Linked DNA regions of Schizosaccharomyces pombe. Changing the gene in region 4 together with the main gene of any one other region gives a genetic interaction. Each region holds a gene or a part of one and is shown on either strand. Other genes may lie near its edges. The genes, in order: ent3, pep7, rer1 and aut12.

Region 1 (7,257 bases), on a different chromosome or scaffold from region 4:
TTGATCATGGTTCCTTAAAAATTGAAGAATCAAGGCTCGGTTTTCCCCCTCCAGTCGTTCGCATGTCTAATGAATTTAAAGATATCGCAGAACTTTTTTGCCGTATTCCTTACATGCCTAGCATGAAAGACCTAGTTTCTCTATCCATTTCTGGAAATGTATATTTCGGAAGAAACGTGATATTAAAAGGAAACATCGTGATTGTTGCTTCGGAAAATACCATCCTTTGCATCCCTTCCAATGCAGTTTTAGAAAATTGTGTTGTGACAGGAAATTGTAAAATAATGGAGTGTTGAGCTTCACAAAAAAACCGAAATCTTTCTTTTCTCTTTTTTCTTCATAATTTCTACATAATGAATTTTCATATGCGCATCACGATGTTTATTTTAACTCATACCCATTTTGGGACATAACTTTATGACCATAATCGAACTCGTCGCTTACACTACTCTTTCAGTACCATTTTCTTCTGAGGACATCTAGCGATTCGAAATTACTTTACTCTCTTTAATAAACAATTATAGTTTCAATTTTATTTCTCATGTTAAGGATTTGTAAGATTATTTTACTGAACTAAGGCGAATGAGTAAAGGACTCGAGGCTCGACGCTGTTTAGATAAGAAATACCTCTAATATATCAAACTAAATAAATTAATCAATCTCCATCCTTATAAGGCCACCAATTGCATTCCCATTATAGGAAAATGCAAAATTGCAATGAAGGTCATTCTACCGACGTGAATAACATTTCCAAAATTCATTCTAGCTTCACCAACTGTAAACAAAATCGTAAAGCAGACGATGTATAGAGAAATATAAGGACAATAAACAAAGGTATTAAAAAATGAAGCAAAAGAAGGTATTAAGACCTTGTTGCTAACGATCAAGGGCTGGAGATAGTTTAAATGAGATAGGAAACGACTACTTAAATTCCATAGCAAACACATGCTAATAGGAAGTATTAAAAAAGACAAACTAGGAATATAAAAAACAATTATTACAATAGGAGATTGTCGTTGTCTAGGAAGTTTTGGGTTTTAGAAACCGGTTCGCTAGAAGACGAAACAACTCTTTCCCTAGTTGAGTTTTCTTGATGAACTTTGTTTACGGCAGAGGACCACAGACTACCAAAAGCATCACCATTAGATCCAGAAGATTTGGCAGCAGTAGGTTGTTGTGAGGTTAATCCGAGACCGGCTTGTGAAGAGGTATTAGACAATCCGGATGACATACCAAACGCAGATGTATAACCCGTATTAAAGGTAGTAGGTTGAGGTGTAAAGGCACTGGATGATGTGGGAAGTTGATTTAAACTATTAAAGCCACCGAACGAAATTGACGAAAAGGCAGCAGTATTTGAAGCGGGTTTGGCGGAGGGAGCGCTTTGAAAATCATCAAAAGCATCATCGTCATTTTTAGCAGCAGTTGAAGCAGTTTGAGAGCCCATAAAGAGAGAGGCATTGTTTAAGGTGGAAGAAGCTGGGGCAGCGGCAGAACTTTGGAAGTCACCGAAGCCATCATCTTCGAACGCCAAAGGAGCAGAAGTATTTGTTTGTGGTTGGGCAGGAGAAGGCTCATTGTCAAGACCCAATAAATCGATCATTGCAGATTCCTGTTTTGGCTGCTCGGGAGCTTTGTCAGATTGTTTGGTAGTAGTGCGACGTGAGCCACGCGTGGAGTTTGCGGTTGCAGCATCGCTGGAACCACCATCTCCATCTTCATTGTACTCCTCTACATCGTTATCGGATGCATCACGGGAATCACTCATAGAAGATGAATCATGGTATCCATTACCATAATCGGTAAAGCCGCCACCGTCTCCGTAAACGCGAGTTCTATAAGAACCACGGGAAGAGCCAAAGCTAGGAAACCTAGATTTAGAGCTAGTGGAAATCCTAGAATCTCCATCACTACCAACACCTATAAATTTACCACGATTTTGACGCGCTCTCTTGCGTTCCTTACGGATACGTTCGCTATCGTTTAGTAATTCCACCAGCTCTTTAGCTCGAGTTCGAACATTAAGCCCTTGGTCCTTTTGACGATGGTCGATGTAGTGAAAATTACGAAGCATTTTAATAGTTGCTTGATGTGCTCGAGCATCATCTACCACTCTTTCAGACCCGTTCTTGACCAAAAACTCCAGAAGCTGAAGTGCTTTGTAAATTTGACGCCATTCTTCTGCAGTTTTTTCGGTAAACCGACGGTAGATCATTGGTAAAATTTCGTTTAACTGAGAGTAGTTGTGAGTTCCTTGGGCAATTTCCATCATCAAAGAAGTACTAGCGCCCCAGGGTTCATTATTCGTTGCTTCACGAACTCTGGCTTCCATAGATGTATAATTCATTACAACATTTTGTGCTTTACGAACCGCCGCCTTGATATCGTAAAGGTTGATGTTCTTCATCGTCGATTGAATGGACTCCATCTTAGATAATGTTTTACTTTCTTGGATTTCTAGTTCCTAAAGGAATTTATATCCAATTGTTTAAATGAAACTTTTTTAAAGAAGTTTTCGCTTCTCAAAGAACGCGTAGGCAACGAGTATGGAAGTATTGTTGTCGGTGGATGGGGAAATCAGATTTCTCAGTCTAGCCGCGGCTCCTTTTTACTTTATCAAGAAACTGCATCATATATCTTTATTCTGCTTTACTGAGAGAATTTTTTTTTATTGATCTACGAAATTTAGTAATAACGATTTTAAGGGTGTTCACTAAATCCCTTGGGAATACAAAGTTCTATTTACAGGCCCTCCTTGTATGTATATATTCACACACATTTTGTAGGTGTCAAATGCGATTTACTATTTGTTTGTTTCATCCATATACAGATTTCTCTTTCCCTTTTTAATTTATTATTCAGATTAATCTGATTATAAAGTTAACTTGGTGTTTCTATATAACTACCCATTATAAATTCGTAAAATTATAACCTTTATTAAATCAAATGGTTCATTCAATACATAACGGTTTACGGTTTGAATACTCGTGCTCAATTTATTTCAGACTGAATCATATACCATTTATTTCGATTTACTTTTCAGAGTAAAGAAATTCTACCTCTGCTATACTCCAATCTTTTTAATGTATATAGTTGATGAATAACAATAGGAGAAAAAAGCAATAATAATTGATTATCTTTCTACGCATTAATCATTCTTAATGGAAGATGCCTAAATATGTACATAATGTTTCTAATATTCAAATATGAGCATTTGAATAAAACGGGAATTTTCTTTTTAGCAACTTATTGTAAATTCATCTTTCAAAAAATTATTTACATGAATATCTTTAAATACAAGCAGACCAAAAAGCAGGTTTCAAAAAAAAATAAAATAAAAGGCTTTATACAAAAGGCTTGTATTCGGGATTCCATTCACGTTCAATAATCCATTCCTTCAATTTAGCATCATCTTTGGGTAAATCCACAGTGCTCATTCCCTCAGAAACAGCTTGCTTCAAGACTGCAAAAACAATGTGACGAGAAATTTCGCGAGCATTGTTCAAATCTGGCAAGAGGGCTTCATCAGCAGCAAATAAAGATCTGGGAACAGTGGCCAAAGCATCGGAAGCTGCTTTCAGCATACCATCACTCAATAACTTGCAACGGGATAACACACATGCAACACCAAGAGCAGGGTAAAGGAGGGCATTGTTGCATTGGGAAATCACGTATTTTTTACCATTGCGATTGAGAGGAGGAAGTGGGGAACCAGTGGCTATCAAAGCCTTTCCATCTGACCATTTGTCAATTTGATCGGGCTTCGCTTCCATAAGAGTAGTGGGATTAGAGATTGGGAAAATGATGGGGCGCTCGACGTGCTTGCTCATTTCACGAATGGCTTTCTCTGTAAATTTACCCGGTTGACCGGAACATCCCAAAAGAATGGTGGGCTTGACGAGTGCAATAGCACTCTCTAAATTAATGTCTCCAGAAGGGACTTCCTTAAAGTCAGAGTCCTTCTTCAAAAATGGCTTTTGTCCATCAGTAGCAATCTTAGCATGTCTCTCCAAAAGCAAACCGCAACGATCAATCATGAAAAGATTACCTCTAGCCTTATCTAATGAAAGGCCATCTGTCACCATACCGGCAACAATTTGGTTGGCGATACCAACACCAGCAGTACCTGCACCAAAGATCATGATGCGCTGCTCGGTTAAGGGAGATTTCGTAACGTGAAGGGCGCCAATAATGGCGGCCAATGCTACGGCACCGGTTCCCTGGATATCATCGTTAAAGCAGGCAATGTCAGGACGATAGTGGTCTAAAATGCGCTTGGCGTTGGCAAGACCAAAATCCTCAAAATGAATAAAGGCCTCAGGAAAGACTTCACGAATGGCCTTTATAACATTGTCCAAAAAGCTGTCATACTGTTCACCACGAACACGATCCTTTCTCAAACCCATGTATTGATGATTTTTACGATGGGTTTCATTGTTGGTGCCAACATCGAGAACAATGGGCAAGAATCGATTAGGGTCTAAACCCGCGCATAAAGTCATTAAATGTCCCTTGGCAACTGAAATTAAGACACCACCAACACCTTGATCGCCGATACCCAAAATACCTTCAGAATCGGTAATGATAATGTATTCGACACTATCGGATTTTCCAAACTCGGAAAGCTGTTGCTTGATATAAGACAAATCGTTATGATCAATATCCAAATAACAACCCTCAGGATAACGATATATATCGGAAAACTGCTTGATGGCATCGCCTTCGGTAGGTGTATAGATGATAGGAATCATTTCGATCAAATGTTGGCTGATGAGTGCGTAAAACAGAGTTTGGTTGGTGACGCTTAATTGAGAAAGATACAAATTCTTCTGTAAGGGCTCATCACCGATTGCTTTGTACTGGTCATAACAGCGATCCACTTGTTGTTGCAAAGTTTCAACAATGGGGGGAAGACGTGATGAAATCTCAAATTTTTGACGCTCCTCAGGTGTAAAAGCAGTGTCCTTATTGTAGCGAGGAGAGTTTAACAAAGTTACTCCTTTTAAAGGACACTCGATTTGTTCTTTGGTTCCTGCAGGCATTTTCAAACTTCAAGTATGTGTAGATCAAAAATCCAAAATATCAGAATTACTGTCCTTTTCAAATGGGTATAGCCCTACTTTTAAATAACTATTTTTTCGTCAGTTGTTCCGGTAAGACGGTCCACGTGCTGATAGTATAGTGCAATAAATTGTGCGTGTCAACCACCAAACGTCACGATTAGCCCAGTCGACCTCGCAATTTTTACGTTCGGTTATAGCAGTAGTTGTCACTTTAAATGAATGATCCCCCTTCTCGCCACCGATTTTCCTATACATTAGGGACTCGAGTCCAATCAACTAATAACGTAAAAGGATTTTCTTACATTTTGAAACAGATAACTTCGGGTGTTGCCAGGGGACATGGACAGCCGAGAACAATCTTTACAACAATGCCAATGCAAAATCGATTGTCAAGTTTCGAAGAGATTACACATTAACAAGAGGATTTTATTTAACATACTAATACACCTTGCATGCTAACTCGGATGAACAGCCGATTCTTTCATCTTTTGTTGGGCTTGGTAAAATGAGAAGTCTAATAGTCCCCCCTTCAAGAAGGTTGATTAAGGATGTTGATATATATATAGTAATAAGAAATAGCTGCACTATGTCATTTTGTTTATGAAAAACAGGTTTTCGTTAATGCACTTGATTAGTAAAATGCATTTACCCAAATAGAAAACATAAGTTGTTTGCTAGCGATTAAATTACTAATCTAACAAGTTGAGAATCACTCTTTTCCTGGTGAGCTAGTGTATTTTTTTTTTGGTTAGGGCAAAATGCTTATTGAGGGTTGCTTGTTCAAGTAAATAAATACCTTCATAGAACAATATATAGCTTTAGCTTTGTGTTAACTTGGATAATTGTTTATTAATGCAGTTCTAAACAATAAGTTGATGCTTTTTGAATAAGAGGAATTTACTACGCGAAATTTAGTTTGCGACTGTTTCTATTCTCATCTGTTAATGAAAACACGCGCAAACACTCTAGTGGTGTTTTCGATGAAGTTTGGAACAAATCTTTCATATAAGTTAGTGAAATAGACAGGGTAAATAAAATGTCTCAAAATGTTTTAATGGCTTCATACTAATGAAACTAAGACTAGTTAAGATAAAGTTGGATTTTATTTTTATTTTTTTTATTTAAGACAACTAACATGAACGAGGGTTTTGCTTTAGTTACCCATCTGGATTAAATCAGTATCAACATTAATGATAATCAGGAACCAGATTTATTGAGTTTTAAAAGAAATCGCTGTATTTCTTCTTTTTGTTGTTTTTTTGGCTCTGAATTAAAAAACCACATAACGCTGCGTGATCTTTAAAATGCGATGACTTCTTCAATAGACCATCGTTTAATCCCGAATTTAAAAAATCAAGGTACGATACGAAGACATTAGTTTAAATGTTATTTGTTTTTACTGAACATTCTATGGATGAATTTCTTTTCCGTATATTGCTTCAGACTTTCTTTTCTTACATTATTTATGTATCCTGCCACCTCATTTCTTATCGTATATGCTCTCCATCACATTAACTTGGTTTAGCACAACTCTATCGTATCGTTATCGAAATTTACCGAGTGTAGAACATGCTGTTCTCAGACACTCTTATCGATGCGTTGCATTTCTTTACGAGAAACTTCAAAACTACCTTTGACGCGCTTGAAAGCAGCCACATAGATTGAGGCTTACAATGTCAACATCGCGTTTGCTGTTACCAACAACTAACCAACAGCAAAACTCATCACCAGTGATAAAAGAAGTGGACTTGGTAAGCTAGGCATTGCATTTGTACTTTGCTAATACCTTGGTAGAATCAGAATACTCCAATACCTGTTGTTTGGCAAAAAACGAAAAAGCCACCTTTTGTTTCATTTCCTCGACACGAACCTTCTGAAACAATTGTTATATCTTCAAAACCTAGGCTTTTCTCATTCGCCAAAAAAATCAAACCAGAAGCTGAACAGCGAAAACGTAAACGAACAACTGAGATTTGAAGATTTTTTTCAAGGTGATTGCAAAAAACGTTTGTAGGAATTGTTGGCGGCATTTTTAGTTTTTTTTTATTTTATCGCTCGAATTTTTTTAATTTAATGAGCCTTTATTTTTTTTCTTTTTAATTTCGTTAAACGACCTCTTGAACGACATTAGTGTTCTTTCAAACAATCTAGTTGAAGCTTGAAAGTATTTGTGATAGACAGATATACAATCCAA
Region 2 (9,028 bases), 3.0 Mb from region 4:
AAGTTTCGCCTTCATCTTGGCATTTTCATTGGCTTCCACTTCTAAGTCACTCTTAATTTTCGCTATAATTTGCTTCAACTTTGTGGATTTTGCAAACAACTCGTGAATTTTAAAAGTAGGATTAAAAGAAATAAGTTGGGAACGAGCTTCTATAAGTTCTTTCGGAATAAAGTTCGTTTTGGAATCCGAATGTGTGATTTCTTGAAGCCGGCTAAGGTCTAAGGAGGCGAAAACCGTTGCCATTTGGGTGTTTTGTCGTTCTACTTCAGCTTGTTCAGCGCGAAACACTTTGGCAGTCTCCTCTGAATACAGCGAACTGGCGGTCGTAACGGCGCTAGGCACAAAGGCCTTGAACAAATCATCTCCAACAATTTTTTTTGCAGTTTCAAATCCATCTTGACTTCCATACAATTTCTCTAAAGGAAGTGGTGGTAGAGCTTGCAAAGGAGATATTTTTGGGAGCTCAACTTCCTTGACTACAAGATCATGAAACACAAAGTCATTATCTTTCTCAGCAGTTTTTAACAAATGAGACAAGGAGGATTTGATGAAGGTAGAAATGGTCTGAGGATAGTCAGAAAGACTAGGCTTATGAATAAAATCAGTACTCAACTTTATACCATTGAATAACTTTTGAGCAGACGAAAGAATTGACTTAGCTTGTTGTAAATATCCAATAGCAAGCCCTTGTTTCGATTTTTCCAACTGAGCGCGTGCCATAAAATAAGAGGAAAATCCCTCAAGGGCGGCCTTTTTGGCAGAAGCAAGCCGTATGAAATTGGGATTGCACGCCGGTTCCATAGATTCAAATGCGTGTACACAGCTATCATATAAAGTAGCTGCCGAACTAGCAATCTTTGCAGCCAACGAATAGTTCATGTTAGAGTCACTAGCTGAAAAAGACATATGTCCCAAGACACACTCCTGTGCTTGACCCAAGAAAAGATTGTAAATACCTAGTAAAAAATTGGAATCTAAATCTCTTCCAGGTGCATGAATGAAAGATTCGCGTAAGAGTTTGGCAATACCGCTAGCGCATTGTAAACAATTGGCGGCCGCCTTATAATCATCCACAGTGTAAGCAGATGCATGATTAGCAGCCATTCGGGAAAGCAATGAAACCAAATTGAATAAAACCGATGCTTTTTCAAAGGCAAGAGAAGATTGCTTGACGAAATCTGCATCGGGATCTAAGATATCGCTCCACTCAAAAGAAATGTTGATTCCATTACCACCAGTGGGAAATCGGAAAGACAAATAGTCAAGTTGTCCGTAATAAGAATACAAAATATCCTTACCAGCAACTGTGTCATCGACGTCTGCTGCGTTTTCTCTCAAAGTGTTGAACGCCTTAATTTGATCTTCGACATCAACACTATTTCCATATATTCGAGATACGAACGTAGTAAATGGCTCAACCCAATCTGAATGCTTTGTTTCCTTTTTATTTAAGTAAAAAAAAGGAGTAGCAAGTTTCTCCATCCTTTAAAATTCCTTATAAAAGAGCCAATGCCCCTATAGTTCTATGCACTCGACAAGCTGACTTAATTGACTAAATTCAGTCAAGCCAACGATGCACTAATCCTCGTTAAGACAAGTGAAGGAATACCTACATAATTTTCTATTATATTTACAAGTCCCTTTGATCTCCTTAAAGCAATATACCGTTGTTTGTGTAGTTACTCAAGTATTCACTATTCTTTCTTTGTACCACATCTTGTGACTGCCTTCTTTGGGGTAAAATTTTGGAATTCGTGGGCGCTAGATAGTTGTATTAAGACCAATATGAGTGAGGCGGTTACAATCAGAACTCGCAAGTTTATGACCAACCGCTTGCTTCAGAGGAAGCAAATGGTATGTATTTTTTTGCTTATAAGTTCTTTACGATCAGACGTGGCATATACTAACATGAGGGCGTTTTAGGTGGTCGACATTTTGCATCCTGGCAAGGCCAACATTTCCAAAAACGATCTTCGTGAAAAATTGGGTCAAATGTACAAGACTGATGCAAGTGCTGTCCAGGCATTTGGTCTTCGTACCCATTATGGTGGTGGAAGAACCACTGGTTTTGCATTGATTTACGACGACGTCGAGGCCATGAAGAAGTTTGAGCCCCATTATCGTCTTGTCCGTGTTGGACATGCCGAGCCTATCCAAAAGGTTGCTCGTCAACAACGCAAGCAACGTAAGAACAGAGGCAAGAAGGTCTTTGGTACTGGCAAGCGTCTTGCCAAGCGCAAGTCTAAGCAACAAGACTAGGCAATCTTATTTTTTCTTGGTTCAGAAAAATAATTTTCATAAAGTAATGAGATGTATTCACTTGATGGAAATGCATTGTTGTATTCGAACGGATTTAATTACGTGTTGCCTAAAATAATATTGTTCAGCTTTCGTGTGAACAGTAGTGAATGAAGTAAATAATCTTCAATAACTAGAGTTTGATCTCTAATATAATAATTTTTGAACATGCGGTATATGTTGTATTTTATGATAGTTTAATAGTTTTGTAATGTAATGATGTTGTTTCTTATTTACTAAAAACATAAGAGTTGAGGGCAGTGTCAATTGATAAAGGAATGGGCTAATATTGACTCAGCTGTTGGAAAAAGGTTAAATGAAATAAAACAATGGTAAATTGCGTATGCTTTGGTTATTCAATTTACTTATATCATCTACGCATTGATCTCAAATACAAAAAAAACATGAATACGTTCGAGTAAGAAAACAACTTGAAACAACAATAATGGTTGTGTATCAAAATGTATATTAAAAAGAAACGGGTGTACTGTTACCACTGCGATAACTTAAGGGGAAAAAAATTTATCAACAAAAGGAAGCAGTCCGAGAATTCTTTACGAAAATAAAATAATTAATTTTGATTTTTGGTAAACTGTAGGATAAAGATCATCACGATAAAAGAAACAACTACAGCAATGATCATTCCTAACTGTAGCCAAAAAGACAGCCTTTTTGACTTAGAGTAGCTTTGAACACCGTGGTTGGCATGTCTCAGACTGTGGGCATTCTTGTCGAGTAAGCTTCCTGTACGCTCTACCACTTGATTATCAGTTACTAGAGCATTTGTGAAAGATAAAGCGTTTTCTTTTAGAACAGATGCCAAATGCAAAAGTGACTCAGATATCTCAGTTTGCATTGAACGCTGGTTTGTGAGCAATTGGGCATTGGAAGCTTCGACATTCGACATCTGTTGTCGCTCTCTAAGCTCCCTTTCTTGAATACTCTGAAGAGCATGCGCGATCTCCTTCTCTTGTTTACTTTTTATCTTTTTCTCTTCAATTTTCAGCTTTTTTTCCATGGTAACATTTAAATCATAAATCCTACCCTGTAAATCCATGATTCTCTTCGAAAGCCCTTGAGGTTCAGCAACTTTGTCAAGTTGGCATTTTCCTTCTTCCCATAATAATTTCCTTGCATAATCAAGATTCTTTTCAAATTTTAAAAGTTCCAATGGGTCTTGAAACTCATCACGTTTCAACTTGAATTGTCGCTCCAACCTACTGATCAAATCTTTACTCATTTTAAAGCCTATGGAGTGAGCATTTCATAAGAATATCTCTCTCCTATAAAGAAAGTTATGTAAAGCGCTTTAAACTGGGGTTCCTGATATTTTATAAGTAGTTTGAGTTGAGTAGGTTATCAGGTGCATGTCATCTTATACACATACTAATTTTCACCTTGTATGAGTATTTTGGGTTTCAGAGTAGACGATTATAGTATTTTATATATTATTCATTTATAAGGATGTACTAACATTTAATTAAAACCGTATTTCTCTTTGAATACGTATTTTTGTACCAAGTGCCTTGACTATAAAATGCTATTTTAATCTCAATCTAATGAAGTATGAGAAGCTTAATAATCCTTATGTTAAAAGAATTGCATGAACCGTAATGCCTTAACTTAAAGGTGTCAATAAACATTAGCGTATTTACCTTACTATATATTTCAAGTCATGGAGGATATATGTTGTAAATAAACTTGACAGAATCTTTAAAAACGCAAGGATCTTGAGTTGCATTCCTTGCCATTGCATTGGCAAATTTTGAAATAACACTTATAGTACGCAAAGACGACCAGGCTGCCTTCGTGTTAGATTTTTGATAAAGCGATCTTTCTTCTTATTTAAATAAGCACTGCTAAAGACTACATACCTTGTAACTCCATTTGTCGTTATTTCAATTTATTCAGACCGGATGTTTTCCTGAATTGAAAATTAAACAAAATTGCAGTCTAACTCTTTAATTATTTGATCAGAGGATTTGTGATTTCTTTAGAATCTCTCATAATTTTATTTTAAACAACTTAATTTATTAAATTTCTAATGTTTGTTTATTCTGTGTTTAGCATTCCACCAGGTTAACCAGTTGTCTACTCTTCTAACAGTGATAATTCTTACCGTCAGGCGAATTCAGCACCTTTGCAAGAGCAAGCTCTGTGTAATAATAATTTATAAACTTTAGCTACTTTTAATTATATAGCCACTGAAAAGGCTTCAATTGCCTGAAATTCTCGTCTAAAAATCAAGTTCAGAGGGATTACTATGCAAAATGGTAAAAGACGTATTGGAGTCCGAATTTCTTCCAATTTGAGCAATCATTCCGGGACTAATCTTTCTACTAGTGCTCAAAGTGATTCTTCAAATATCGTTAAAGCCACTGAATGCCCAATTTGTGGGCTGGAATTACCAAATTTGTCAGCATTAAATGATCATCTCGATGTTACTCATTTCAATGATAATGAAAAAATCCACAAGCGACAAGATTCCATTAATTCATGGCTAACAAGGACTTTAAATGGTGCTTCAGCTCTGCAAATGAAAGCCGCTCAACGTCTTTGGAGAATGGAACCATATGAACAGAATGGGGATTCATCAGGTGCTGTCGGCCTTGAAGCAACTAAGCTCACAGATTCCTTGGTTGTCAAAAATCACTGGCAACCAGAGGTTCCTGACATGGTCTGCCATGACCCGATGTGTGATAAGCTTTTAAATTTCATCAATGGTCATATTCATTGTCGTAAATGCGGTTATATCTTCTGCAACTTTCACTCAATGTACCAGATCAAACTCAGTATTCATGCTACCTACGACTCTGAAAATGGATTTTGGTGTCGTGTTTGTCGAGAATGTTATGAAGGACGTCCTGGGTATAATGATTCAAATGGTTTAATTCGCTCACGTTTTCAAACATTCGAAACTTTTCGAAAACCTTTAGCTGATAAAAGAAGAATAGAGTTTTTAAGATTAAGCAAACGTATGAAAAAACTTGAAGAGCTATGGACATCGGAAAATGTCTCGATGCTTGATGCGCTTCTTTTGAACAAGGCTAAAAGGCTGGAGCAAAGCATCGTTCATTGGCAAGATGATTCCGTTGTACAAATTTGTCCTGAATGCAACAATTCTTTTACTCTAACTAGAAGACGCCGGCATTGTCGGCTTTGCGGACGCGTGATCTGCAGATTCTGTGTATTAGAGATTAGTCTTCCTCAACACCCGCAACCTCTCCTCATCTGTATGAGTTGCAATCAAAATTATTTCCGTAACGTTCTTTATCAAACGGAAAGATCGAAATCACTTGGCTACATCCGACATATTGAACACTTGCAAGTTTTTAGACAGGCTATGGTAAATTACTATCGACTTTACGAGGATTCTTTGTCTGAATTACTAAGTGGTGAAATAATCACTGAAGCGACCCTGAAAATAGTAAAAGATAGACGAAAAAAATTTCTTGAGCTATGTGTGAAATATGATGGAACTATGAAAAAAATCGCCAATCATCCCTCATCCAATGATGCTGAAGAACAATTTAAGCAGAATGTTGTTAATGAAGCAAAAAGATATTTACAAGAAACCATATTGCGTTTGCAGGCCATTCCTTACCATTTGCAGGTTGGCCAAGCTTGGACTTCTGAGTCTGAACGTGAGCTAGAAAAGAAGAAAGAGCAAGTTGAAAAGAAGCAAGAAGAGTTGATGCAAACAAGAATAGTTTTAGAGGAGCAAGTTTTCCTCGTTGAAAATATGATTGAAGATGCTAAAGCGAAACGAAAGTTTTCTGAGGTAGAGACTTTACTCTCCAGTCTTGCACCTTTGCATGAGGAAATTCATTCAATCACTGAAAAGATTCATGACTTGGATCTTTTTGATATTTGAGGATTTTTTCAATAAAGGAAATTTGACTTGTTTAATGATGCTGTTTCACTTTTATGTAATCAAAATTTCCTAGTTAATGTGTTGCGAAGGTTAGTCATATGATGGATGAGTGAATAATTGTATAGATAAATATTTATTGATGAAATGAATTTGAAGACTTTGCTTTCCTCGTCGAACAGCAATGAATGTTATCAATTAAGTTGAATAGGAAGAGCATCTTTTTTAGAGTTAACTTCTGAAGATTAGTATTCCTTAATCAGTGCTTTACTCTCCCTAATAATCAAATATTTTTTTCAAGTGTTATAGTATAATTAAGTTATGAATATGGGGCACAGGCACAAAAATTTAAGACTGAATTAACTTTTTGAACTATCCAACTTTACAAATTTACTTAAAGAATGAATCAATATTCGACAGCATGATAATAACAATGATTAAACTAAATGTAAAATTTATAATATAGATTTTCCCAAATCTATAATACTGAATTTTGATTTTGGCTTTACCTCGTGACCTAAATATCGTTACCTTAAAGACGTGTACAGACTTCATCTACTCCAGAACCACATTATTTTAGATTTTTCCAAACAAGGATTTTGCCTATGGATTCTTCTAATGTACCAGTTTTGAAGGATGAAGACAAGTGCAAGTTTTCGATGCGCTTTACAAACTTCCTCAAGTCTCGCCCTGAGCTGAAAACAAAGCCAGCGATCCTCAATGGAAAACGTGTATACTACTTTCGTGTGAAGCGTGTTCTTCGCTTTTTAACATCCGAAGCGTATACGCCTAAGAAATACAAAGGGTTTCCAGAAATTTCAAGCCGTGAGGAAGCAATCGAAGTTCTCAAATTGCTCATTATGAATTCGATGCTGGTTCGCGTTGATAAACTCCCCCCTAAACAAAGAAAGCAGAAGCTTGTAGAATTACAGATAAATCGTAATCAAGATTTTCAAGACGATATGCATTATGTTTGGCTCTACGAGCCTCTTCCAAAACGCGTTATGGCTTTGGCAGTACTGTTCGCTCTTGTCGTATTGGCACTCGTTTTGTTCCCCTTGTGGCCAATGTTTATGCGCAAGGGTGCTTGGTATTTAAGTATGGGAGGCCTTGGAGTAATCGGTCTATTCTTTGTTTTGGTTATTTTACGTTTTTTCTTATTTTGCATTACTGCTGTCATCGTGCGCCCTGGCATTTGGCTATTCCCCAATCTTCTTGCCGACGTTGGCTTCTGTGATAGCTTTAAACCTTTATGGAGTTGGCACAATTCCAAATCTGAGGTAAAGAAGACAAGGAAATCCAAGAAATTGTCAAAAAAAGCCACTTCACCAGCTGCTTCTGCAACTCCTGAAAAGTCTTCTACGTCCACCACTTCTTTAAAGAATTTAAGGCACAGAAATCCTACCGTCGAAGAAGTCTCTGAATAAAAATTAATTGTTGTACCGTTGATGAATCCAGTCACTCAGCCACTATTACTTACTTTAAAAAAAAATAGTGCATATCTTTACGTTATCAATTCTCCTTATACAATTTATTTCGTCTATGTTTTCGGAGAAAGGTTCTTTGAGATTCTAAATGTGTTTTCCAAGAAACCTTGGCGTTCTCATTTTATGCCCAAACGTATACATATATAATCAGTATATACTAAATGAGGACACTAAATTCTTTTGTGTTTCTTATTGTTACGCATTTTAATTACGGCAAGTTTGTCAGTCAATGAATATTTACTCTTATTGACACACAATTCTTGCTTAACCCATTTATATGAAGCGTTTTAATTTATGTACCACTCCTGGTAGGTGGTTTGATAATTCCCTTATTCTTTTAATCTCAATTTATAACACATTTGAGCGAAATTACTAGATTCTTAGCTTGCTTTTCTCCTTTTAAAGCTAGTATAGCATTTCCTCATGACACAAGGAGTGCATTCTTACTATAGTTGGCTGATCACATAGGAGTGATTATAATTACAAGTTCACTAATATTCATGGTATAAATTGTCATCATATCATATGATATTTAACTTCATATCAATAAATTTTACTTTCCATATTGAATATTTTCTCAATTCTTTAGTGTATAGTGCGTTTGCTGTATATTTCGTTAACCAGACATCGTCATTCTAAGTCAACTCCCACTACCTACTAATTGCAGGGCATTTTAAAAAAACTTGAATTTTCAAGGTATCCCTCAATCATATAGGGTAATACATATTATTTTTCGTTGATTAAGTGCATTTTATTGACGTGAAGCTTTTAAAGCCCTTGGCGTTGAGGATTTTGTAAATATTATACTAGACTCTAACACCACAATGTCCAACGTTACTGAAAATAAACATGACTTACACGAAAACGGGGTACCAGATTCTGCTCAGCCAATGGAATTGGATGTTTCTAAAAAGGAGGACACTGAACCAGAAGTCAGAGACGAGGCCAAAGAATTTTTGTTGAGCCAGTTACCACAAGTAGAAGTCCCTGAGTGGGCGCAATGGTTTGATTTCTCTAAAGTTCACGAAATTGAGAAAAAACAAAACCCTGAGTTCTTTGATGGAAAAAATACGTCGAAAACACCAGAGGTATATAAGGAATACCGAGATTTTATGATTAGTACTTTTCGATTGAACTCCAAAGTTTATTTGACTTTCACGGCTTGCCGAAGGAATTTGGCTGGTGATGTATGTGCTGTCTTGCGTGTCCATAGATTTCTAGAGCAATGGGGATTAATCAACTATAACGTTAACCCCGATACTCGGCCTTCGAAAATAGGTCCCCCTTCCACAAGTCATTTCCAAATCCTTGCTGATACTCCTCGTGGATTGGTACCACTTCTTCCACCTCCCTCTTCTTCAATTCCTCGTTC
Region 3 (8,048 bases), 4.4 Mb from region 4:
CTATCATTCATTTTTGAAAAAATAGCTGTGACAATCCTGTTGCATATAGTTTGTTTTTTTGACTAAGTATAGAGGATCTTATGAAGAACCTTTTTGAGTGACCTTAGTCCTGAATTCTTAGCTTAAGTTTGCTTTAACTTAATTGCATTTCTAGCAATTAACATTGCTAGATTTTTGCCTCATCGCTAGTCCATTTATAAGAATACGAAGTTGAACGAAGGAATATTGACCAAAAGAGCTTGGTGACTTCCAAAAAATGAAGAATCAAAAAGATCTGAAATGAGTATCCCTATCTTTCAGCTTTCCGCTTGTTTCGTGATCATTTCAGTTACTCACACATATACATTTATGAGTTGACCCAAAAAGAAAATCGGAAAGCGGGAGTTTAACAGATATATGAAAAATCAAGATAATAACAACAATTGATATTTTTAGTTTAACATTTCTTATTCATTACTGTGAAAATCCACGAGTCTGCACTCTAGACACATAGAATACTCTTTAAACAGCTTTCACATTATCAGGAAAGCTATTCCATTGATACTGTATTCTTTTCAGTAAATTAATTCTCATTTCATAGTTGTAACCATTCTCGAATTGGACTTCAGTCCGCATTCCAGTACTTGATCTGCTTTACCTGTTTCAACAATTTGAATCGTTTGATTATTTTCCCATTCAATCATGACATTGATTTAGACGTATTGCTGAATTAAGCCATTCCTGTTATTTGTCCCAACGTATAAAACTGGTTAAAATGTTTAAGTACTGTGAATCATGTCATTAAAAGTTTGGAAACGTGATTTTAAAGGAACAACTCATTATTTTGAACATAAATCATTACCATACAGATTTTTCTTCTTTTTCTTCTTTTATTATAAATAGGATACGATAAGTAGAGGAAACCGTAAATTTATGATGATTGACTCCATGATGCGGTAATTTCAATCCTTCCACTACACACTGCCTTTAATTCCAGGTCCATCTGGTTAATCATTTTTTAAAGAATCTAATTCATTCATATTTTTTTATTATAATTTACATTATATTTTCAATTTCTTTTTACTGTTTTCTCTCGTTTCTTGAGTCAACGGGCGAAGATTCGTGTTTCAAACGTAGTATTCTTTGGAATATCACAAATCTCATTTTAATTTTTAAAACGGCTTTCTAATTTTCTACCGAGAAAGAGTAGAAAGTTTCCCATTTCATTCATAATTTCTGATCCATTCTTGGTATCTTATTGTTTTGCTTTTATCCAATCTCAGTTTATATTTGTGAAACTTGAAAAAGAGTTTCTCTTGTCTCTAAAAGACTAAATTTTATTTTTTATTTTTTTATTAATTTGCATTTAACATCTGCTAATCTTTAAAATGGCAGTCCTACAGTGGAAGTTATCTCGTGTTATATTCGTGTTGTTAATCATTGGGATTAGCTCTTTTCTCATTTACTTCCAATTTGGAAACTCTTTTTCTGCTTCACCTGCTTTAGAACGTTTACAAGATGTATTTTCCAAACCAAGTGTACAAGAATACGACTACTTAGTACCTCTGGATGAAGATATGCAAGGCCTTAGCACGACGTATCATCAAGCGACAATTAACGAGGATGATCCTCAAGAGCCCAAATCCCATGAAATAGTAATCCTCTTAGCGAGTGATGGACGTTCAAGTGGCAATATGGCACCTGAAACATTTAATCAATGCATAGAAAACCGAATTAACTACGCAAAGCATCACAACTATGGCTTTGAATATGTTAATGTAAGCCAAATGAACATTCCTCCAGTGTGGGCCAAAATGCCCGCTATTATACAAACAATGAATAAGCATCCTCATGCGAAATGGATTTGGTGGTTGGACCAAGATGCGTTAATTTTGAACACAGAACTCTCTATTCAAGAACATATTTTGTCACCTGACGTTTTAGTGGAAAAGTTAATGAAGAATGAACCTATGATATCTCCATTTAGTGCTGATCTCGAACGTCTCACCCCAAGTTCCTATACTGTTGACAGTGCTCGTTCTTTAGGGCTATTGATTTCTCAAGATTTGAATGGCTTAAACGCGGGAAGTTTCTTTGTTAGAAGGTCGCCCATGATGGCTCTGTTTTTGGACTTATGGGGCGATAAATCCTTTAGAGAAAATAAGGTTGCGGATCATGAACAGGCCCTTTTGGGATATTTTGTTAGATATCACCCGGAAATTGCTGCTATAATAGGAATTTTACCTCAAACCCTTATTAATTCTTACCCTGTTGGCCAGCCGGAAATGGGCTGGAAAGAAGGTCATTTGGTTATACATTTTGCTGGGTGTTGGGTGGAGAACCGTTGTCAGGTTTTGTGGGATGAATATCGTGAGAGGGTTCATTGATGTGCATTAATAATAATAGTATTACCATTATTAATGCATTTGGTTATTTCCCCTCATCTTGTCTTTATTTTTATTATACACAAGCCACTGGATGCCACTCCTTTTACATAATTACCTATACAATTATGCTCTATGTATGTGTATATATTATCTAAGCATAGTCTGCCTCCTTAACCGTGCTAGTTACGGTTGTTTTCAATGGAAGAATGTGTTTATTTTATATGCGGTGTTCTGTTACAGAGGTGGTGGATAATCATCTAATTCCTTCTTTAATTTTTCTAATATACATTGCTATATAAACTAATTGTGACACTTATATTATAGGTGGTTTTGCAGGCCCCAGACAAATATTAATTGTGTTTAATTCATAAGCTTAAGGCTGAAACCACCAATCTTTTATTATATTTGTTTTATTGCACTTAATCTTTGGCTTTTTTTCAATTATTATTGAATCTATGCTACCTGTGTGAAACATAATCGATATTACTCCTAAAAAGCTGTGGATATTTGGGTAGGTAAAGTTATATCGCTTGATCCTAAGTTTGATATTTGTATTTTTTTTTGTTTAGGAAGTTGGCAATGCTTGCAATCTTGTCTTTTTCTATACATTTCTTCCTTGCCTTTGTCTTCAATCTAATCTGCGTATAAATGTCGATCTGGTTTACTTTTATAGACTGAATTCATTAATTTCTTTTTCCTTTTATTAAAGCTATTCAATGTAGATTTGTCACATTATTTTGCTGTGCAGGATTGTCATGAATTGAAAAAGCATACGTTATCTGACTTTATGAACCTCGAAATAAAATAAACAAGCATTATATTACATTTGTGTAAATTATAATGCTGTTAGGGTTGATGATAACTGCAAAATTCATGGCTGGTTTGAAAAGAGCTTTGCCGTTAATTTCAAATAGAAGTTGACATCGCTTTATTAGAGATGTCCAGCACCGGCTATACTCAATGATCATTAGTTGTTATTTCCGCTACATTTGCTTAATGAACCTTTTTATAAAAGCTTGCATCGAAAGAAGAAGTGTCATGTTGTAAATGTTAAAGAGTACCCAGACAAATTCTTCAGATTATTATCTTTACTCTTGACTTTTCCAACAAATTGACGACTCGTTTACTACTATGAATTCTTCATAAACACCCAAATCGACATGCCATTTTTCTGCAAAATTAATGAAGTCGAAGGTGAGCTGTATACAGTTTAACGTATTGGTAAGTATATGCATTAAATTTCTAATCGGTTAATGAGTTGATCATATTTAGGAACTTCAAATTGGTAAACGTAACCGTGGTGTAACTATACTAATCTATTCAAAAAAAAAGTAATTCTGACTGCCAAATTATCACTGAATCTTTTCTTTACACGCTTACCGCTCTCGAGTCCTGTAGAGACAAATTATTACTTTATCGTTATATTACTTTAAACTAATAATATCATTCACCGATAACACATTATAATGTATACTGTATTCTAGTGTAGGGGGTAAATGGAGTCTGGCAGTAGCGCGTATATGTCTGAATTGAATACATATTTCACTTCACTACCAACCACCATTTTATCGTCTGTTTGACAGTATTTAAGCATGGAATTCATTCAGCGTCATATAGAAAATGTTAAAGAGAAGAAAAACTTTGCAGTTCGAGTAAGAATAACTTGATTAGCTTGAGAAAAGAAGAAAATCTAACGTGTTTTTAGTTGTATCGACACTGGGTGGACCGAACCATACCTTATACAACGTATAGATGGCTGACTGTTAGTGGATTAATTGCATTATTTTTTATTAGGATTCTACTGGTTCGCGGTTGGTATATTGTTTGCTATACATTAGCCATTTACCTGCTCAATCTGTTCCTTGCGTTCTTGACTCCAAAATTCGATCCTAGTGTTGAGCAAGCAATGAAAGATGAAGAAATTGAAGAAGGAGTTCTTCCTACTTCCAAAGACGATGAATTTCGACCCTTTATTCGTAGATTGCCAGAATTCAAGTTTTGGTATTCAAGCATGCGTGCCACCTTGTTCGCCTTAGTCGCGTCCTTTTTCCGAATATTTGATGTACCTGTGTTTTGGCCTATTCTTGTTGTCTATTATCTTGTACTTTCTTTTTTCTGCTTTCGACGACAAATTCAGCACATGCTCAAGTATCGTTACGTTCCATTTGATATCGGTAAGAAAAAATTTGGCTCACACTAGGTAGTGTTTGAGCTGATGATGACCATGATCGCGAAATTGTTTTTTTCTTAGAAAGATATGATCACATTCAGTTGATTATATTAATCGGATACTCCTCAGTCGTTCTCTTACAAACATTTGTTTTTTATGTTTTTATATCGCCCACTCTTACTTTTAAACATGTAAGGAATAATTTTTCCAGCCCTATGTTCTTTTTACGCGATAAAACTACTTTTTTCTTTGAACCCAGTAACCTGCAATTTCATCGATAATGATGCTAATTTCGATGCTTTGTAATCCATCGGTTCTCTGGGTGTACAGCTATCTTTCATGCATATTCAAGATGTTAGATATCTGTATCAGGCTAAAAGAAATTGGCGATTATTTCTGTTAACATGTATGTGGATTGTCATGCGGTGATGATTAAAAAAAAATCTTTCTTATTGGAGTTGGGTCTTTGATGAAGTTGATTAACGAACAAGTTACAGAATACTCGGCTTATTCTTGTATCCAGAAGCGCTGGAAGTGGGCTAATTTGAAAGACATGTATCTCTTTCGAAAAGCTTACTCGCTTCTTCACGAACAGTTGTATATGGATAATAATTAGCATGCAGGTACAAAAATAAATTCATTGAAGCAACAAAATGACATGAAATTCTTTACAGCTAAGGAGTTTTAATAAACTGCAAACCAAAATTTAAAAGGTGTTTGTCAAATTTGACAGCATGGCTACTGTAGTAAACATTTACGTACATGATAAAGTTAGTAATTGTATGGTATCGTCTTAAGCACAGACAGTCGATTTTCCGTTAGAACAGCACGAGGGTTTTTCTGATGTGCAACAGCTTTTCTTTTCTTGAGAGCAGCAGGAGGTTTTTTCTGTTGAACAGCAACCTTTTTTTTCTTGAGAACAGCACGAAGGTTTTTTCGATGAACAACAGCTTTTCTTTTCTTGAGAGCAGCAAGAAGGTTTTTCTGATGGACTAGAATCCTTCTTGGAACAGCATGAAGAACCCTCGTTGACGGATTTCAACTCGGCATGCTCTGTCCATAAACTTTTGCCTGTACAAGCACAAATTTGCTTGGTATTTTGACCCAAACCAGCGCTACGGGAAATAATTCCCATAGTGGCGGAATCAGAATCGTCGACACATTTAAGAACGAAACAGTGACCAATCCAATTTGGTAAGGATCCAGAAACCTCTTTGTCGAGAACAATTTTTCCTTGCTCATTGGAGTTTGCATTAAAAAGGGTAACAAGGCTATCGCCAGCGGATTTGAGTCCACGGGAAATGTCTCCTGAGATAGTGACTAATCCTGTATACTCTCTATTTGGTAGGAGTTGAGTAGCAATCAAATCGAGGAAAATTTTCTCCTCGGTGGGAATAAAACGGCAAAGTCCGTAAACTTTGGGAATCTGGGTTATATCTTCATTGGCTTCATAAAGAATGGAAACGCCCGATTCTTTGTTACTAGCACCACGAATGAGAATGGGCTTCGAAGTGGCATTTTCCAAGCGCCGAAGGACTTTTGAAGGAGAGACTGAAAATCTACGTTAGCTAAGAGTAAAATGAGAAAAATAGGAAGTAAAAGAGGAAGTCAAACAATTTACTTTCAATTTTATGAACTAATGTAAAGCAGGATGAACTCACAAATCTCTCTTTTCTTCCTCATTTCTTATTGGTTTTATCACTTACCAGAACCCTTCACAATTAATTGACCAGTTGCAGCATCCCATTTCCAATCTTCAATGTTTAAATCTTGGAATTCCTGCTCGAGGGTATTCTTATTTACGTCGTCACAATCCTTAATGAGATATTCAACCTAAAAATTTTATTAGCACTCTTTGAACCAAATTTTCAAACAAATGCCATACTTCAAACATGTTGAAAACAAAAAGAAGCCGAAAGCAAAATAAGCCTTTAATATGATATTATTGATGTTGGCAAATGGCAACTTCTACGGAACTGCGTAAGGTGGTGAGATTTACTTTAGAATGGAAGGCAAACTCAGTATGAAGATTAGTCAGAAGGAAAGTTAATGGTATATTGAATTGAAAAATGCAAAATATGAACGTCAATTTTTAAAGAATATCATTGATTTTATTAGAAATGACAATGAATGTTGGATTTTTCTATTTATTATTATTTATTTTTTTAAATTTTTTTGGAAGATTTGTTTTTTATTCCAAGCGAGTTAAATGGCTTTTCTTTCTGTTGGTTTATAAATGAACATAGAGATTGTATTATTATTTATTTTTCATTAATTTTTTAAAGACCATTTAGCTGTAATTGTTAGTGTACAACTCCTTCGTTTGATTTAAAAAAATAAAATAAATGCTATGGGCGATAGAGAGATGTAGGAATATCTAAATTCTAAGTATTATTTTTCTTATATTATGGAGAATTTGAACGTTCTGTTTAGTGATTACAGTACTCTCACAATTTTAGTGATTCGTATATATACATGAATTGAGTATTCTCGATTTCTTTTCAAACAAAGAATCGAATTCTGTTGGCAATTTTTTTTTTCATTCATCTATTATTATTTTAGTATTAATTTTTTCACTTCAATCGAGATTATATATTTGCTCCGGTTTGATCTATTTGCCTTTCAAAGACTTAGTATATTACATTACTACCAGTACTGTGAAACATCTTATATAGAATCCATGCAATTGATATTCGTCCATACTAGAATAAAATTTATAGTTATTTAAAATGAATTAATTAAAGTAAACTGTTGCCGAAATTCTTCAACCAATCTTTTTTGTTTATACTCGAAAATCTGCCAACTAGCGAACGTTTCATGGCCATTAGAGAATATGGGGTTTTTAAACTATGGAACTGAATGAAAGGAAATGGGTTCATTCGGAGTCCCAACCGCTTTGTATATCGCCCGTTTTCCAGAATTATGCCTTTCCATGCCTATATATATGGAATCATACGTCAACCTATTACTTTCCAACTACCAAACACTTGTGAAGCGAGAAATTTCTTTGACAACGAGTTTTACTTGGTTTTGTACTAAATTTTTGAACCCTGCTAGTGTCTTAAAAAAATTTGAAAATGGTAAAGGTTTGCCTATTTGTTGCGGACGGCACTGATGAAATTGAGTTTTCGGCACCTTGGGGAATTTTTAAGAGAGCAGAAATTCCCATTGACAGCGTCTACGTTGGAGAGAATAAGGACCGACTTGTGAAGATGTCTCGTGACGTGGAAATGTATGCAAATCGTTCATACAAGGAAATCCCCAGTGCAGATGACTTTGCAAAGCAATACGATATTGCTATCATTCCTGGTGGTGGACTCGGGGCAAAAACACTTTCTACAACTCCTTTTGTTCAACAAGTGGTTAAAGAATTTTACAAGAAGCCTAATAAATGGATTGGAATGATTTGTGCCGGTACCCTTACAGCCAAGACATCAGGTCTTCCAAATAAACAGATTACTGGTCATCCTTCTGTTCGTGGTCAACTAGAGGAAGGTGGCTACAAGTACCTT
Region 4 (6,003 bases):
AGTTACTTCGGGGGAAGAATCACGAAGCAAAGCCATAAACATTGAAGGGTCTCCATTCTGTGAAAAACACTTTAGTAATGATAAAACTATAATCAGTTCATACCAGTAAGATCCCATTCACTGCCGTTATAAAATCGTAATAAGACTCAATTCTGGCATTATAGGCTTTCGAATCGTTTTCAACCTTTAATACTCTGAAACCACATGATTCATCTGATTCTCGATGAATACCAGCTAAAGCTTCTGATTTTTCTTTAATAAAGTTCTTTAAACCACCAAACATTTCGATTGTTTAGTACTTAAATAGGGTTGGTGGTGATTTAGGTAATGGCGCGGTTGACTCGCTATGATATTAAGTTCATACAGTCGGAAATTTATGTGAGTAAAATGATGCTGATATTAATAAATTAAAACAAAAAAAGGAAAAAGAAAAATTAATAAAGCTGTTGGAAGCAATCACCGCTCTTTTAAATATTTTACTGTCAAAACATCATAAAAAATAAAAAGAAATGAATTTCATTAAACTTTACATGCTCATTATCAAAACGAAAGGTTTGTTTGTATAAATAATCGATTCTCCTCCCTTCGTATCCATCTCAAAATCTTATTAACATTTGCAATAAGCAGTTGACTGCTAGTGGTAGCGTTAGCAATACAATGAAAGTCGAACGATGCAGTTGACCACGTGAATAGAAGCAAAGATTCATGGACAGTCATATTAATTGAGAAAGAATTTTTTTTGTGAAATGCCTGGTCGTGTAAGCTAGCATAAATAGCATAAAGAGTTCTAAAAACATAGTTAGCAAAGCAAATGAGCCCAAAGATAGCGATCGTATTGAAATTGTAAAGAAAAATAGATCATTGTATACGTACCTAGTATTGAAATTGGGAGTTGAAAATGAATAGCCAGGAGTATAAAACTGTGAGTATTTCTTTGAATAAAACAAGTAATGTGAAATACAAGGAGATCCGGGATTCCTTGGCGTAGTTCTATCCATTTCTTCACAATAAATGAGCTTTTTCAACCATCCATGATCCTGAATTTCCTGAGCAACTTTGCATTTCACTGATTGCATTTCAAAAAAGACACCACTTTCGCTGCTCCCCATTATCAAGACAGTGTCCTTACATAGGAAATAGCTATAAATGTAAATATAAGCATCTGGATTTAGAGTAGGAAAACAAACAGGCACCCAATGCTCCATTGAATCATTAAAAGACTGTGTGCGGAAGAGTGATAGGAAAAGTAAATAGAGATCATTAGCATGTAATAAAAGCTTCTTCGCCTTAACCATACAAACAAGCCGACCTCGTATAGCTATAAAAGTAAACAGCAGAGATTTGGGTGTTTCTCTCAACAGCAGTTGCGACAGCTGATCACGAAAAGAGGAACGTAAAGGAAGAGGAGATATGGCATTCAATGTGGGGACTAATTCATAATCATTAAGTTGATCACATAGTTCTTTTAGGAACTGCTCGTTGCTTCCAATAAGTCTTCTCAAATCAAAATTTGGGCGGGAGTTTAAGGTCAGCTGCATAGCTTTCGCAGTAACCCCAGTAAGTATTTGGCAATATAAGAGGTTTAACTCACTGAGTAAATATGCTGCGCTTAAAGTTGTCGATGGCGATACGCCAACAAGATAAAGAGGATTTTTGGAGAGAACAACGATAACATTGGAAAAGGTAGAAAAGCTTGTTAGCTCTTCTTTCGACACTTCGAAAGAGCTAATAATTGCTTGTAACGCGCCAACGGTTGATGGCTCAATTGAATCATCAACAATGTTACTAAACACGGGCTTCCCTGATGAAGAGAATATCAAATATGTGCGCTTTTGTTTTGCCAAATCAAAAGATATCAACGAAAGTAGTTTTATAATTTCATCAACAGCCGTATTGTTACTACTGCTCGATACTGAAGTGCTTACATTAAGCGGAGAGGAATTATCATGCAATATATCAGAAAGTAATTGTTCAACGTTTTCCACGTGGCTTCGCAATTCTGGTGTAGACCTGCTTACTTCTTGATCATCCTCTGACACCGAAGGCGCTGCCATTAGAACATTACCAGGGTTTAACAGCAGTGATCCACATTCCGACTCATGAGATCTATGAACGTTATCATTTTCCACTTCCTCCTTGATTGATGAATGCTCAGATGTTGGTTCCATCAACTGGCTGTTTTCATTAGTGGGATGGATTGAATAAGGAGGACTGTAGCTGTTGTAATAATGCTAACCTCGCTTCATTCACTCATTTACGGTTAAAATTAAGGGAAAAGAAGGCGTTTTAAATATTTTGCTTTTTATTGAATAAAAAATAATTATTGATTCTTTAAATAAATGTTGAAACTCAACTTTGCGGTGCAATCATAAAGATATTGTGCCGAAGATGATTTCGTACCTAGTTGTATAGGTAATTCAAAAGGGAAGATTGGAATGGCTGAGTCTTCGGCAAAGAATTTCATATTACAACTAAATGGCATTCAAGATACGTTTACATGGAAGTCAATTGTATACAGAGAACAGTACTGAATTTAAAATAAAACTAATAATTACACGTTCTATGAAATGTACGCGCTCTAAACTAAGAATACTCTTTGGTTAAGAAATTAATGTTAAAAAGCGCTTAGAATATAGCGCTAGATGTATTACTACAAACTGTTTATATTGAGTTATTTAGGAGTGATCACTGATCTATCGTTTCAACTAAAATGCTGCTTATCCTTGACTTCTCAAGGTCTAAGGATGGTATTCACATTTAAAGATCTAGAAACTTGTTGGCTAACTTTTCGAGATGGTTCCATCTAATATTGAATAGAATTGAGATTTGCGCATTGGTTCTTTCAATATCTATATTGCTCCAAAACAAAAACATTAGTCTAGTACTTGTAAGAAAACACAAGTCATACAGGGAATCGAAAATAAAAAATCAGTTGAAATCTTTAATCGACGCTTCATATTTCATTTTGAGCAATAATAAAACACTCGATTAAGCCAACCATCATCTAGTTTGTTGAACATGCTCAGTAGTCGGTATTAACTTCATAGAGACTTGAATAGATATAGGAAATCTTTTAATTTTTTGATATTTTATATTTGAGAGTAATAGAATAGTGTTTTATATAGCAATGCTTAAAAGCTGTCTCATTATTTTCTTTTGCATGAATATGAACGTAAGAGAATGAAATATATATATTATAAAAATATTTGATTATAATATTATTTACGATCCAAAACTAGAAATATACAGTCGCTGGTACATGCCTGGTAAGCTACGGCTTACGTTGTTGCGACGAGCTTCTTGTTCGCTGTAAGCTACTTTCCACTCAACCACCGCAACTCTGGGTTTATCGTACACTATCTGGAAATGGTAATATCATGTGTAAAAACCGTACTAACGATATAGTCTTTAAATCCTCATCAGATTTTTAACGAAAGTGGCATCCAAGAGCGGGGTGAAAATGCCCGTCTTTCATCGTTTGTGGGTGCAATTGCTGTGGGCGATTTGGTAAAAAGCACTTTAGGTCCTAAGGGAATGGTAAGGTCAAATCTACATAGAAAAAATTTTTAATTAACGATTTATAGGACAAAATTTTACAATCAAACTCTTCGGGTGATATTGTTGTGACAAATGACGGTGCTACCATTCTTAAGTCTATAGCTTTGGATAATGCAGCTGCTAAAGTTTTAGTGAATATCTCAAAAGTCCAAGATGATGAAGTTGGCGACGGTACTACCAGTGTGTGTGTCTTCGCTGCTGAACTTCTTCGTCAAGCAGAAATTATGGTCAATGCAAAAATACATCCTCAAGTGATTATCGATGGTTATCGTATTGCTACTAAAACTGCTATCGATGCTCTTCGTGCTTCCTCTATTGATAATTCTAGTGATCCTGCTAAATTTCGTAGTGACCTCGAGAATATTGCCAGAACTACTCTGTCTTCCAAAATCTTATCTCAGAATAAAAACCATTTTGCTCAGCTGGCTGTTGATGCAGTGCTTCGCTTGAAAGGTAGCACGAACTTGGATAACATTCAAATTATTAAGATCCTTGGTGGTAAACTTGATGACTCCTTCCTTGATGAGGGATTTATTCTCAATAAAACTATTGGTGTTAACTGTCCCAAAGTTATGGAAAATGCTAACATTTTAATTGCTAATACGGCTATGGATACGGATAAAGTGAAAGTTTTTGGTGCTAGGGTTCGTGTAGACACAACTGGCAAGCTTGCCGAACTTGAACGCGCTGAGCGCGAGAAAATGAAGGCTAAAGTTGAAAAAATCAAAAGTCATAATATTAATTGCTTCATTAACCGTCAACTCATTTACAATTGGCCAGAGCAGCTGTTCGCTGACGCTGGTATTATGTCCATTGAACATGCAGACTTCGATGGAATTGAGCGGCTGTCTTTGGTCACTGGTGGTGAAATTGCTTCAACTTTTGACCATCCTGAACTTGTCAAATTAGGTCACTGTAAGAAAATTGAGGAGATCATTATCGGTGAAGATAAAATGATCAAGTTTTCTGGCGTTGAAGCCGGAGAAGCCTGCACCATTGTTTTACGTGGTGCCACTCATCAGTTACTGGATGAATCTGAACGAGCCATTCATGATGCATTAGCTGTTCTTTCCCAAACAGTCGCTGAATCTCGAGTCACTTTAGGAGGAGGTTGTGCTGAAATGCTAATGGCCAAGGCAGTGGAAGAAGCTGCTACCCATGAGCCTGGTAAGAAGGCAGTTGCTGTTTCTGCTTTTGCAAAAGCATTATCACAATTACCAACTATATTGGCTGATAATGCTGGCTTTGACTCTAGTGAGCTAGTAGCTCAGTTAAAGGCAGCTCATTATGATGGCAACGATACAATGGGTCTTGATATGGATGAAGGAGAGATTGCTGATATGAGAGCCAAGGGTATACTCGAGGCATTGAAATTAAAACAAGCTGTAGTTTCAAGTGGATCTGAAGGTGCTCAACTTTTGTTACGCGTTGATACTATATTAAAGGCTGCACCAAGACCCCGTGAACGAATGTAATGGGCATAGTGGTTAACAACTATTTTTTTCAAATAAAAGGACATTCTTACTAGTACTTAAAAAGATTAGAAATAAAAGGAGGCGATTACATTGTTAGTGTGACCAAAATTTAATTAAGGAATGTAAATGTATCGAGAAATTTGGCTTGTTCCTTCTTGCAAACTTGAGTTGACTTGTAATAAATGATTAAAAAGAAAAAGTTTACCTCGTAGTGACTATGAGGAGATAGCATCTAAATGGAAAAATAGCCAAAGAAATCTTCGCAAGATCTCAAGCATTTCGAAAGAAAATATCCCCATTTCATACTCATGGAATTGATGCAACCGGGGATGAAGTTTCATACTCCAAGTAACTCGTAAAATAAAATTAATAAAGCACCCAATAGCGTAAATAAACATAGGGAACCTTTTATGATTAATGCTTTTGTGAAAAGGAAATCGGATTCTCCAGTCAATGAAGACGTCCCATAAGAATGTATAAGCAGAGCTCAGGAGAGCCGAAAGAATCCATAACCAAAATAAATAACCGTGTCCAGATGTCAACGTAAATTTAGTTTGCTTTGCATGAATGATAGCAGAAAGATATATTACCGGAAGAGCTGTTGCATGTTTTAAAGCGCTTAGCAGGTTAATTTTGAATGTATGTTTTCTACGAGATAACCCGTAATGTAAGCATTGAAGTATTGCAACAATGAAAGGATAGGCCATTGCTAGAGGAACAAAAAAAGTGCCATCGCATTTTAGATCAGGTCTAAGTGTAAATTTACTAATATGACCCTGTAAGACACAACCAAAAATGTAAAAATCACCAAGTGCTTTAGCATATGATGTGAATATTTCAGAAACAATGAAATCTTTATAAGGGGAACGAAAATCTGCTTGAAAAAACAAAAATACGCGAATTATGCTTTTCCTCAACCCACGTTGAGAAGACCGGTAGCGCCATGGAAAGGGAAAAACTATTAAAATAA

Evidence for each region.
Region 1: mutations in aut12 (region 4) and ent3 together harm fitness more than expected from each alone (negative genetic interaction), as found in Schizosaccharomyces pombe (one large-scale study listed by BioGRID).
Region 2: mutations in aut12 (region 4) and pep7 together harm fitness more than expected from each alone (negative genetic interaction), as found in Schizosaccharomyces pombe (one large-scale study listed by BioGRID).
Region 3: mutations in aut12 (region 4) and rer1 together harm fitness more than expected from each alone (negative genetic interaction), as found in Schizosaccharomyces pombe (one large-scale study listed by BioGRID).

Annotation. Positions count from the first base shown.
Region 1 is NC_003421.2:272,170-279,426, forward strand, and holds ent3 (ENTH/VHS domain-containing protein Ent3), read right to left. Parts: upstream 2,580-7,257; 5' UTR 2,429-2,579; coding exon 998-2,428; 3' UTR 501-997; downstream 1-500. Other genes in the region: ugp1 (UTP-glucose-1-phosphate uridylyltransferase), read left to right, coding at 1-296; malate dehydrogenase Mae2, read right to left, coding at 3,345-5,042; SPOM_SPCC794.15 (uncharacterized protein), read left to right, coding at 6,737-6,814, 6,858-7,040.
Region 2 is NC_003424.3:3,597,318-3,606,345, forward strand, and holds pep7 (FYVE tethering component Pep7), read left to right. Parts: upstream 1-4,399; 5' UTR 4,400-4,561; coding exon 4,562-6,172; 3' UTR 6,173-6,587; downstream 6,588-9,028. Other genes in the region: bro1 (vacuolar protein-sorting protein), read right to left, coding at 1-1,482; rps2401 (40S ribosomal protein eS24), read left to right, coding at 1,786-1,854, 1,924-2,259; SNARE protein Use1, read right to left, coding at 2,870-3,538; translocation subcomplex subunit Sec62, read left to right, coding at 6,775-7,596; SWI/SNF and RSC complex subunit Ssr1, read left to right, coding at 8,481-9,028. UniProt on the Schizosaccharomyces pombe protein: Required for vacuole segregation and vacuole protein sorting. Possibly part of a complex which tethers the vacuole membrane to microtubules, either directly or via kinesin or dynein-like motor proteins.
Region 3 is NC_003424.3:5,023,318-5,031,365, reverse strand, and holds rer1 (Rer1 family protein), read left to right. Parts: upstream 1-3,915; 5' UTR 3,916-3,958; coding exon 3,959-4,018; intron 4,019-4,071; coding exon 4,072-4,566; 3' UTR 4,567-5,223; downstream 5,224-8,048. Other genes in the region: alpha-1,2-galactosyltransferase Gmh3, read left to right, coding at 1,368-2,366; superoxide dismutase Cu chaperone Ccs1, read right to left, coding at 5,330-6,087, 6,243-6,369, 6,422-6,430; glyoxylase III Sdj1, read left to right, coding at 7,614-8,048.
Region 4 is NC_003424.3:641,345-647,347, forward strand, and holds aut12 (autophagy associated protein Aut12), read right to left. Parts: upstream 2,195-6,003; 5' UTR 2,169-2,194; coding exon 874-2,168; intron 788-873; coding exon 541-787; 3' UTR 501-540; downstream 1-500. Other genes in the region: grh1 (GRASP family protein), read right to left, coding at 1-57, 104-283; chaperonin-containing T-complex beta subunit Cct2, read left to right, coding at 3,367-3,369, 3,406-3,537, 3,585-5,033; erd101 (EXS domain-containing protein), read right to left, coding at 5,249-6,003.